Xenopus tropicalis: one gene and its partner. The protein of the gene in region 2 interacts with the protein of the main gene of each other region in a biochemical or structural test. Links are inferred from orthologs where the notes say so. Each region holds a gene or a part of one and is shown on either strand. Other genes may lie near its edges.

Region 1 (6,089 bases), on a different chromosome or scaffold from region 2:
GGCATTTGGTTTTGGATTATGGGAATGGGCTTGTCATTGTCCTCAACTGAAGAAAACCCTTCTCGGCCGTAAATAGAAGGGTAGCTCTTTGAGTATGAGTTCTGTCTGCCCGATGAGGTCTCATTTGTTGTGTAGATGGGCATAGGGCTGGTAAAGGCAGTGGTTTTGTGCACTACAGAAATGTCATCAAGGTAGCGTTGAGTGGCCTCCAAGAGCATCCCACTCCCGTGAATAGAATATTCGAAGGAGGAAAGCAGTTTGGGTTTGTAAGCAGTTATTAGCACTATATCATTTCCAGTCAGTCTGCGGTATTTTTCTGCAGCATTAACCAACACCTCCCAAGCCTCCTGGTGATTGTCAGCCATGTCAGTCATGTTGGTGAGATGTGTCTAACCCTATTCATGGAACAAAGGGTAGAAATCAGTTAGTCCAATGGACGGAAGGATAAAATAATCCTACTGTTGAATTTATAAAGGGACATTTGACAACTAAAATGCTTGTGGGAATTGATGACTTACCTTTAGGGCAGCACCTGTCCCCCCACCCCCTAAGCCAATTATATATGACTGGCAGAAGTAGGAGTGAAAGGACTTTAGGTCATGTGACTTTACAGTTTTAGACTATCAAATGCGACAATATGTATGTAATATGCATATTAAAGAATGATTTGGTATCCGGCTGAATCCATAAGTTTGTGGGTTTGGTTCGACCCCGTTTTAAAGGATGTCAATCCAAAAAATAATTTTTGCCAATAAAAGAAAATTCTAAGCAGTTTTCCAATATGAATTTATTAAAAATGTTTAGTAATTTAAACTGTATTTAGAAATTGCTATGTAATTGCTATTGAAGGCAGCATTTGCTGAACTCCTGGTTTTTACTTTTTAAACAATGTTGCAAAGGGTAGTCTCCTCTAGCCAGAGAAGTCTGTCAGTCTGTTGGTTTGTGTTACATTGTTTCCAAACTCAGAGAAAAGGACAAACATTACTTTTAATAGCAGTAATATAATCACAAAGATTAAAAGCCATTACAAATTTGTAATGAATGTATATTGCAAAGTTGCTTAATATTAAGTTTTCTTTTATTAGACAAAATTATTTTTGGTGACCCTGGCTTTTCCCTTGTTACTCTCAGGGCAGTGATCCCCAACCAGTGGGATGTGAGCAACATGTTACGCACCATACCATTGGATGTTGCTCCCAAGGGTCTCAAAGCAGGTGCTTATTTTTGAATAAGAGGTTAGCGGCAAGCTTTGACTGCATAAAAACCCAGTGTAATTGCCCAACAGAACCTCCTGCTGCCAGACCATGTAGGGGCTACCAATAGCTAATCACAGCCTATAATTGGCACCCCAGAAACTTGTGTGCTTTTGTTGTAAGGTTGGGGACCCCTGCCTATAAGGATAATCTGGAGAGAGATTGCCATATTTTTCCGCCCACAGATTAAGCACTGTATAATCAAAATGTATTCAGAAATCATTTGCATTGCTGAATATGCTCCCATGCCTCACCTAGTGGTAGACAGGAGAATAGCACCCAAGCAGGAGAAACCCAAGTACGGTTTTGCTATTGCAGTGCACTGAGATGGCTGCCTACACTAATATTACAGCTTAAAAAAAAAAAAAAAAAAAAGATTGGTTAAAGAATAACATTTTAAATGGTAGAGTGAATTATTTGCAATGTACACAGTGTAATTTAGTAATAAAGACTATCCTACCATAAAAACTAATACCATAAAAATCATGACATAATCCCTTTAACACACTTACAAGCAGGTGGGTACAGGGAAAGATTCAGTCACATCTACATTGTGTTATGAAATTTTACAGGCAAGTTACTCCATAATGATAGATAAATGCTGGACTTAATGAGTCACAGGCTATCCTTTGTATGAGATTCCTCAATAAAAATGCTGGCTGCATGGAAGTTACATGGGTAGCACTGCAATAGTGTTTGTGTCCCTAAAAGCCCGTCACTTTGCAAGTCAATGCTGTAGAATCTACTGAAGTACCAACTTTTATCAAACCACTGGGAATCAAGAAGAATCTGCAAAGGCTGGCAGTCAAAAGGTTAATGTACTTTCATTGCGGTTACAAAGTAGCACATGATTGCTTTGGGAATCCTACTGCTTTCTTCTTTCTTTTCTGGAAGAAAAGGGCCCAGCTCTGCCCTAGGAATCGGACTTCAGCCACCCCCTTCCTGACCCTCAAGAGCGATGGTTACCCCCCCTTCTGTCTCGGCTCCACTGCCAGATTTAACCAAGAAAATATTTAAATTTTAAAATAAAATTTTTTTTTTTATATATAGGCATCAAAGGACACCCCTAGACAAGGGCCTTCGAGTGCCTATATAGAAAACATGGCCCTGTGTGCTGTATACATAAATAGCCCATTCTATAAGATACCAAGAGTTAACTTAAAGATGAACTACAATGTGCCCAACAGACCAAAATAGATTATGCATTGTTCTAAACAAGCATTTCCCACAATCCCCTGCACACATGGTGTCAATAAGAAAGGAATCTCAGTGCAATGCATTGTGGGTTATGTAGTTCATGCATGAGGTCAGTAAGTTGCGAGTTGTTACAATTTGAAACATCCATGTTTTAGTCCCTCCTCCCCTGCCAGGATTTCAAATGAGGCAGAAAAATGAATGGTTTTGCTGCTGGATTTCAGCATATAAAAATAGTATTTATGCATACTTTAGGAAGGAACAGATTACAGGGATAGGTATATTAGAGTTTTGTTGTTGTGTGGGGCTCTTTAACAAATTTTGGTTTAGAAACTGGATTTCCTTTTAAATATTCCAAACAAGGAATTAAAATAATGCCACCCCTGCTGAGAAAATAATAATCCCCTTATCTACCCAATGTTGCAAACAATAACTGCAATGGCACCCACCTACCAACACACACACTGAAAGGATACAATTACCATCAGTCTGCAGATATGGAGCGTACTGGCGGTTTCTAAGGGGACAGACATGGAGCGTACTGGCGGTTTCTAAGGGGACAGACATGGAGCGTACTGGCGGTTTCTAAGGGGACAGACATGGAGCGTACTGGCGGTTTCTAAGGGGGACAGACAAGGAGCGTACTGGCGGTTTCTAAGGGGACAGACATGGAGCGTACTGGCGGTTTCTAAGGGGACAGACATGGAGCGTACTGGCGGTTTCTAAGGGGACAGACATGGAGCGTACTGGCGGTTTCTAAGGGGACAGACATGGAGCGTACTGGCGGTTTCTAAGGGGACAGACATGGAGCGTACTGGCGGTTTCTAAGGGGACAGACATGGAGCGTACTGGCGGTTTCTAAGGGGACAGACATGGAGCGTACTGGCGGTTTCTAAGGGGACAGACATGGAGCGTACTGGCGGTTTCTAAGGGGACAGACATGGAGCGTACTGGCGGTTTCTAAGGGGACAGACATGGAGCGTACTGGCGGTTTCTTGACACCAGGGCCTGCTACATTGTCCCTCCTTAGCACACTCCAAGTGACATTAGGCACAGGAGGCACAGGTGTAGGGGGCCTGGAAAACCCACAGGCCAGAGAGCCATAAAGCCCCACTTTAACCCTTTGTCTATGGCAAGTTCCAGATGTGCACCCTGCTCTCTATGAATGTCCCAGCATGCATTGCCAACAGCCTGGTTATTAGAAGCCATGCAAAAAGGAGCAAATCCCTCAACTCCCAGGTAACTAACAAAACCCAGTAATTTTGTGCAGAAAAACAAAATAACAAAAACTTTCCAATCTGTAATACAGGCAGAAGCCGCAGTGCAGAGTAGAGCAACAGCCTTAAAAGCAATTTACAAATCAATTTAAAATCATTGAAACGTTTCAAGAGTGCAAACCGGCTGAGCACAACCCACAGGCTTATAACGTTTATGCAGCCAGCCCAAGCTAGCAGAGCTCCGACTACTGCTCCCAGCATCCCCTCCCAATCGCTGCCTACCCGTGCAATGTTGGACGCAGACAGACAGCCGCAAGCCGCACAAACAAGATTTACCTGCAGCCCTCACTGAGCCGAACCAGAGCCCCCCGGGTCGCACAGCTACAGACGTCACCGCCACCAGCCTCCACCACTCGCCGCCTCCCCCATTTATATCGGCAAGGCCACGCCCCCTCTCCCCAACATGTTGGCTGCCAACTCAGCTTGCCCAAACCTAGGAACAATAGGCAAGCTCCCAGTGAGGGTCATCATACTGCCCCACACACCGACACACCGGCGGGACTTTACTCGCACACGTACTTCTCATTACATTATCAATATCATTTCTCTAGCCTAAAGCTCGTACGTGTATGCGTGCCCCACGTGATGAACTTTAGCTCCGCCCAGAGGGAGGGGCCGGGTTAGTTAGCTGAAATAGTACCGTGGTGTTACTTCAGAAAGGGGCGGGGTTCTAGTATGCGAGGGGAGTTGTTTGTTAGTGCATTGAGCAGTGTTGTTTGGGGCATTTATTGATAGTCCTTGGTTGTGTGTGTATGTATGTATATCTTTATTTATAAAGCGCTACTTATGTACGCAGTGCTGTACAGTAGAATACATAAATACAAACGGTGTTAAAGATAATGGATAAATACAAAGTACAACAATAAATACAAATAAATACAAGGTACAGTTGCAATAAGAGTCAGAAACAAGATGAACGAGGTCCCTGCCCCGTAGAGCTTACAATCTATATGTTCGCGGATATGGCTCGCTTTGGGGGTTAATGACGGGGGGGCGACTGCGGGGACCGTGCTAAATGTCATAGCGCGCAATATGTTGGGGCAGCCATGGTTTTGAGAGTAGTAGCGACAATAGCCTTTGTGAGGCACCTGTGTCTGTGCTTTAGTAGGGAGAGATGGTGCCTATAGTAGCAGTGGGGGGATAATAGCCTCTGGGAAGGGACTGTGGCTGTGGGATAGCAGGTATAGTAGGGAGAGATGGTGCCTATAGTAGCAGTGGGGGATAATAGCCTCTGGGAAGGGACTGTGGCTGTGGGATAGCAGGTATAGTAGGGAGAGATGGTGCCTATAGTAGCAGTGGGATAATAGCCTCTGGGAAGGGACTGGGGCTGTGGGATAGCAGGTATAGTAGGGAGAGATGGTGCCTATAGTAGCAGTGGGATAATAGCCTCTGGGAAGGGACTGTGGCTGTGGGATAGCAGGTATAGTAGGGAGAGATGGTGCCTATAGTAGCAGTGGGGGATAATAGCCTCTGGGAAGGGACTGTGGCTGTGGGATAGCAGGTATAGTAGGGAGAGATGGTGCCTATAGTAGCAGTGGGGGGATAATAGCCTCTGGGAAGGGACTGTGGCTGTGGGATAGCAGGTATAGTAGGGAGAGATGGTGCCTATAGTAGCAGTGGGGGATAATAGCCTCTGGGAAGGGACTGTGGCTGTGGGATAGCAGGTATAGTAGGGAGAGATGGTGCCTATAGTAGCAGTGGGGGGTTAATAGCCTCTGGGAAGGGACTGTGGCTGTGGGATAGCAGGTATAGTAGGGAGAGATGGTGCCTATAGTAGCAGTGGGGGGATAATAGCCTCTGGGAAGGGACTGTGGCTGTGGGATAGCAGGTATAGTAGGGAGAGATGGTGCCTATAGTAGCAGTGGGGGGATAATAGCCTCTGGGAAGGGACTGGGGCTGTGGGATAGCAGGTATAGTAGGGAGAGATGGTGCCTTTAGTAGCAGTGGGGGGATAATAGCCTCTGGGAAGGGACTGTGGCTGTGGGATAGCAGGTATAGTAGGGAGAGATGGTGCCTATAGTAGCAGTGGGATAATAGCCTCTGGGAAGGGACTGTGGCTGTGGGATAGCAGGTATAGTAGGGAGAGATGGTGCCTATAGTAGCAGTGGGGGATAATAGCCTCTAGGAAGGGACTGTGGCTGTGGGATAGCAGGTATAGTAGGGAGAGATGGTGCCTATAGTAGCAGTGGGGGGATAATAGCCTCTGGGAAGGGACTGTGGCTGTGGGATAGCAGGTATAGTAGGGAGAGATGGTGCCTATAGTAGCAGTGGGGGGATAATAGCCTCTGGGAAGGGACTGTGGCTGTGGGATAGCAGGTATAGTAGGGAGAGATGGTGCCTATAGTAGCAGTGGGGGGATAATAGC
Region 2 (5,339 bases):
AACGTCCTAGTCAACGTAGAGGATGGCCAACATGAAAATGATCTGCAAAATAGCCAAACATTAAACACCAGAGATTTAACTCCTATCTTTTGTTTGATTGGTTTACTATTACAGGAGGTCTGCATAAAGAAACGCAATTGGTTGCACCTGTTGAGGACGGAATTATTTGGCCTCATAGGTTGAAGCAGGGCCCAGTCTTTTCCAAGTAGGAGATAACCATTCTAAAGAGTCTTGTCAAAACATGAGATGTCTTCAAAACAGGAGACAGCGGATCAGCTGTCCATGCAGCATGAAAGGAAGGGATTTAAACTATGGAATCACAGCTAAAGCCTAATGTGTTTCATTCCAAATTCAAGAGCATAGCAAATGTTTTAATGCCCTCACCACCTCAGAGATAAATTGTAATTTTGCATTGAAATGAGGCAGCAGACAGGCAGTAAAAAAGCCTTGTATTGTCATTTCATTGGTTCATTAGCTTAGTCCATTCAAAGTAGTTTTCTTCATTTTTTGAGAAGCAGCAATGAAATCACTCGAGGCCATGGTTCGCTTATATACACAGCAAGAGACGAAGACCTAGAGGAAACCTCCTTCAAACAGCTATCTCGCTCGCTTCTCCACTGAGTAAATAGACATATAATAGTCATTACTGCCAACGGCCAGGTGGGGCTGCAGAGAGAGAGAGAACATGAGAAATTAATGGTGTCTAATATGGCATTTCCAGTAGCATCCCACTGTATACTGTAGGTACAAGTACCTCTTACACAGAATAAGAACAATTAAGTTCACTTGTGCCTTTTGTTGCACAGGTGTCTTAACCTTTTTCCTCGCCTTTCAAGCACCAGAACCCATAAAAATCCTTATTATAGAGACACAAACCCAGTAAGGATGAAAGGCCAGGCAGCTAATGGCTCCTATTCTTTGTCCCATAAATCCATCGTAGTACTTTATGTTGCTGATCAGCTCTCCATTTCCATTGTAAATAGCGATGAACTGGTTCATTGAACCACTAAAACAAAGTGGAGATTTCCAAGGAGAAAGTGAACAGGTTAATTTCCAGTGAAGCAGTAACATATATAGTTTTATATTATAAATCAGTATTTCTATACTCCTCAAAACATACAGAAATCGTAGCACAAAATTATTCTATGATTAAATCAAGTTTAGTTTAGAAAAAGAGAATATACCCTGATACAGCAGATATAACCTTGTTATATGGGACTATATTTTACAATGTCTGTGATCTCCTGGAACGCAATATTATGATCTAATAAAGACAGATCAAAGACAGATTTTATAGCTAAGGCTGCTCATCAAATGCTGTAAAACTGCACCCTTGGTTCGAATTAGCTTAGATTACCCAGTACAATCAAAATCTCCACGACTGCAAGCAAACATGTTTTGTTCAAGCATCTAGACAAAGACAAAAAAACCCAAAGCAGATTTGGAATTTGCCTGTATTCCCTGATTTGCTGTCTTTTTACAGGTAGTATGCCAACATGCTCATTGGTTGGTTTATATTAGGATTAAAATGAAGTATATAGACAGGTAGTGGCTGATACATGTGCTTGGGAAACATAACTGGTCCGAGGGCCTTCAGTTGGACAAGCCTTACCTAACTGAAACCAGCACTCGCTGCATTTATAGAATAAGTACGTGCCACTACACATTACCATGCAAACAGGTTAGCCTGTGGGTGGATATCCAACGCAGTAAGACCCTTCACAATCTGCAGTGAGTTTAAACATTCTGGCATACGAGGGTCGAAGTAACGGATATCTCCATTTACACTGTGAAAATGAAAGACTGGATGTGACATCTCTGTGCAACTGGGTGACATGCACAACATATTTTTAGGAAATACAAAGTCTGAGGATTCCTTTAGGATTAGCTCAGCAATACTATGTTGCATAAGGCAAACGAAACAGTACAGAACACAATTAGAGCAAGTTATTGTTAGCAGAACTAAGTACCTGACGCTCACAATATTCCCATCGGACTGCTTTTGGAGAGAAGTCTTTACTACCCAGGCTGAGTGCTCTCGGTACGTCATTACACGGCTGTAAGAAAAAACATGAAATACAACTCAAGTGTCACATAATGCTCATTAATAGCCTGAATCAATCTTTAAGGACACTTTCAATTTTATTTCTGCATAGATGTCACAAACCTTCTCACATGCCCCCTGCCCTTCTCAGTATACGTAACTGAGTAGCCTGTGCACGGATGTGTGCATCGAGTCCTCATTTGTGGAGCATAAATTGGGATAACGCAAAGCCTGTTTTGGTAACAGACTCCATAAAACAAAACATAAAAGCCTGCCTGTAGGCCATAATTGTGGACTTACAAATAAATGAAGGAAACAAGATTTAAATAATGTATACAGTATAAGTAAAGTTTATTTTGCTTAAATAGAATGACAACATAGGATTAGGAATTATTTCTTAGGGTGATATGTGTTTTCTTCTTTTGCAGATCAGTTTGCAGCTACAAACTAGTACTCTGTGTTACCTTTTACTACATGTCTTTCTAGCCAGGACTTTTCCCTCTTCATTATCCAAATGACTGTTATGTTTGATGCAATACAGAAGGCAGCCACACATGGGCAGACAAGGAGCTAGCCTGTTACCATAAATGAAAGAAGCAAAATCTTACCATTCATTCAGTGCCATCCTGCGATCAAACACTCGCACTGAACCATCTCCGAGTCCAGCCACAATAAGGGAACGATGAGAGTCACATGACAGGCTGGTCACACAACTGTCTGCTCCAGTGGGTATATCCTTAAAGAATAACGACATCAATATACTGAGTATATAGAGGCCATAGAGACAAAATGCTGGAAATCTTCACATTGCAATCCCAAGACATTTGAAAAGAGGTTAGAATAACTGTTCCCTGATTGCATATGGCAGGCCTTTGTGCTTCTTTAATAGAACTTTAAGATTGTTTAATAAGACTGTTTTTACTTTATGAAAGACACTGTAATTCTAAACAATTTTCTGATATATATTTATTTAAAATCTGCATTTGCTTTAAAGTAATTGCTTTAGAGAACTGTCTGGCCATTTACAATTTCTCAGTACTATTGTTTCCAACTTCTAGAACAATGTAGCAGAAGCCAGCTTATTAAAAGGCCACTTTTGCTACAATGTCAGAGCCAGAGAACAGAAAGGGATACCTGAATGTTGCTTTTAATTGCAACTACAAATAATTATTTAACTATTTAATAAAAAGTAATGAATGTATATTGGAAAATTACTCAAGACTTGCATTTCCCTTTAATTACATTTTTTGGGTGGTGATCTCACTTGAATGTGTTTGTATGGTTGTGGGATTGATACAGTTGATCTGTAATCTATGGTAGCCATGAAATCTTATTAACGTTTTACCTGCACTTTTGTCTCTCTGTCTGTGTCCCATAGCCGGATAATTCGCACGTCTCCAGATGTGATGAGTAGACCTGTTTCTTGCTCCCAATCCACCACCATGCCAGCCCCTAAGATAGAAAGATGCCAACGTATTAGTCTTACATTATGTTACCGCTGCTCTTGAACCTTGCATGCATAAATGGCTTCTGGAGCTGGTTCGTTAGCAAGACAAAGAATAATCAGTTGCATTCAGACTCAAATATTAGTCTATAATATATAGGCAGAACCAACTCTTCAAGGTTTGGTCAGATTTTTATTTTGCACATATCACACAAGCACAATACAGAAATGTTTTCCTGTGTACATTCACTTGTGTATGCACAAACATGCCATAGTCAAATACAGATGATTTCTAATGAAGGAAGAACTTACCCCCCTGTTTACTCCTGTCAAGATAAATGGAAACTCTTCGAGCCAGGCCTGTGGGTTTGAAAGGGTATAGGGAAGGGGACAGGGATAGAAACCAGGAAGGAGGGAGGCAGCAGGCAGAAGCAAAGAAAGGCAAAAGTTAGGAATGCAAGTTACACCCAGATGGCTATGTTGTGTCTGGGGGGACAGGGTATGACACACATTGCAGCAGCCAATGTTTTAGCAGATAAGGAAACCACTTATAAAATGATGACACCTAATCACAGGCTGCTTTTATTTCCATTTTTAGAAAGATTTACACCAGAAAGTTAGTTCATTTTGCTGAAGTGTTAAACATACAGTTACACAATATCAATTTGGATAGAATTTTCATGTAACAGAGGGGGGGAAAAGGCCATCAAATATGTTCTACTAACAAAAGATTTCAGAATGGATGGACAATGGAAATCCCCATAATTAGAAACCCTTTAGCTGTTGTAGGGCTACAGCTCCCAGACACCTCAATAAATGACTTCAATTGTTAGAGATACTTTTTTACAATAAAGACCCCCAAAGGACCACAGGTTGCTCATGCACGGTGCAGATTATCAAGCTACACAAATGTACATGTCTGCTAAGATTTCATTAAACAAAAGATTATTGTAAGATCAAGACACCAAAAGAATACAAAGTGTATGATTTTAAGACCTATGAAAGATTCTGCTAAATGTGGGGTTTGAAGCTCTGAGGAAAGTAAGAACTTAGCAAGGTAAAAGTAGGGGATGCACAAGTAAACGTGTATATGACTTCTGTGAGCGCATCCTACTTCCTATGGAAGTCTATGTAACTGACCTCGTGTGGTCGGCAGCATATCGGACAGTCCCTGCCAAGCTGTCACCATCTCTGGATTTTTCTCTAAGTCAGCAAAGTTCTTCCACACGCGGATGGCTCCATCATCTGCAGGCACAGAGGTGAAGTTATTGGGCCAGCATATTTACAACTGGACAGTGAAGAAGAAAAAAGTTGGAAAGAAAAACACTGCTCTCGAGAGAGTTCCAAGTTTAAAGTGATGTCTAACCTGTAGCAGTAAGCAGCAAAGAGCAATCTTGGCCATTCAGATATTCGACTGCTGTTATACGAGTATAACGAGGGTTACCATTGTGAAAGTAATCCAGCTTCTCTCCTTTCTCCCAGTCCCAGAAACTGTTAGATAGAAAAAATAGAATGGTTCTTGTGATCAACTTTATTACCAACTCCAAGTGGTTATATTGCAATTTGATTCGTAACTGATGTAGAGCAAACTAGCCACTCAGTGAGCAACAACCACATTTCAGCCTGTGTAGGGGCCCTCGATGGGCCCCCCGATTGATACGTGGCTGAAAATTGGCCAGGTGGCGACTGGGCAGGTTTGGTTTTCCCATCAGACCGGTAAACAAATGATCGAATTAGCACAATATCACCCAACTTAGTGGGAATATTGGGAGGAGATCTGCTTATTGTACTGAAGGTTTTTATTTAACCAGGGCATGGTATATCTAGTATAAGTAAATCTAGAGCAACTGG

Evidence for each region. The genes of interacting proteins can lie anywhere in the genome.
Region 1: the proteins of rptor (region 2) and akt1s1 interact in a biophysical measurement, tested with the Homo sapiens proteins (2 studies listed by BioGRID and IntAct, with this or other methods). The link is inferred for Xenopus tropicalis from reciprocal best matches to the Homo sapiens genes RPTOR and AKT1S1.

The regions. Positions count from the first base shown.
Region 1 is NC_030683.2:111,141,493-111,147,581, forward strand, and holds the start of akt1s1 (proline-rich AKT1 substrate 1), read right to left. Parts: upstream 4,060-6,089; 5' UTR 4,001-4,059; intron 396-4,000; 5' UTR 375-395; coding exon 1-374. UniProt on the Homo sapiens protein: Negative regulator of the mechanistic target of rapamycin complex 1 (mTORC1), an evolutionarily conserved central nutrient sensor that stimulates anabolic reactions and macromolecule biosynthesis to promote cellular biomass generation and growth.
Region 2 is NC_030686.2:26,905,613-26,910,951, forward strand, and holds part of rptor (regulatory-associated protein of mTOR), read right to left. Parts: intron 4,980-5,339; coding exon 4,855-4,979; intron 4,734-4,854; coding exon 4,629-4,733; intron 3,849-4,628; coding exon 3,801-3,848; intron 3,497-3,800; coding exon 3,390-3,496; intron 2,781-3,389; coding exon 2,653-2,780; intron 2,058-2,652; coding exon 1,971-2,057; intron 1,788-1,970; coding exon 1,671-1,787; intron 1,007-1,670; coding exon 877-1,006; intron 667-876; coding exon 598-666; 3' UTR 1-597. UniProt on the Homo sapiens protein: Component of the mechanistic target of rapamycin complex 1 (mTORC1), an evolutionarily conserved central nutrient sensor that stimulates anabolic reactions and macromolecule biosynthesis to promote cellular biomass generation and growth.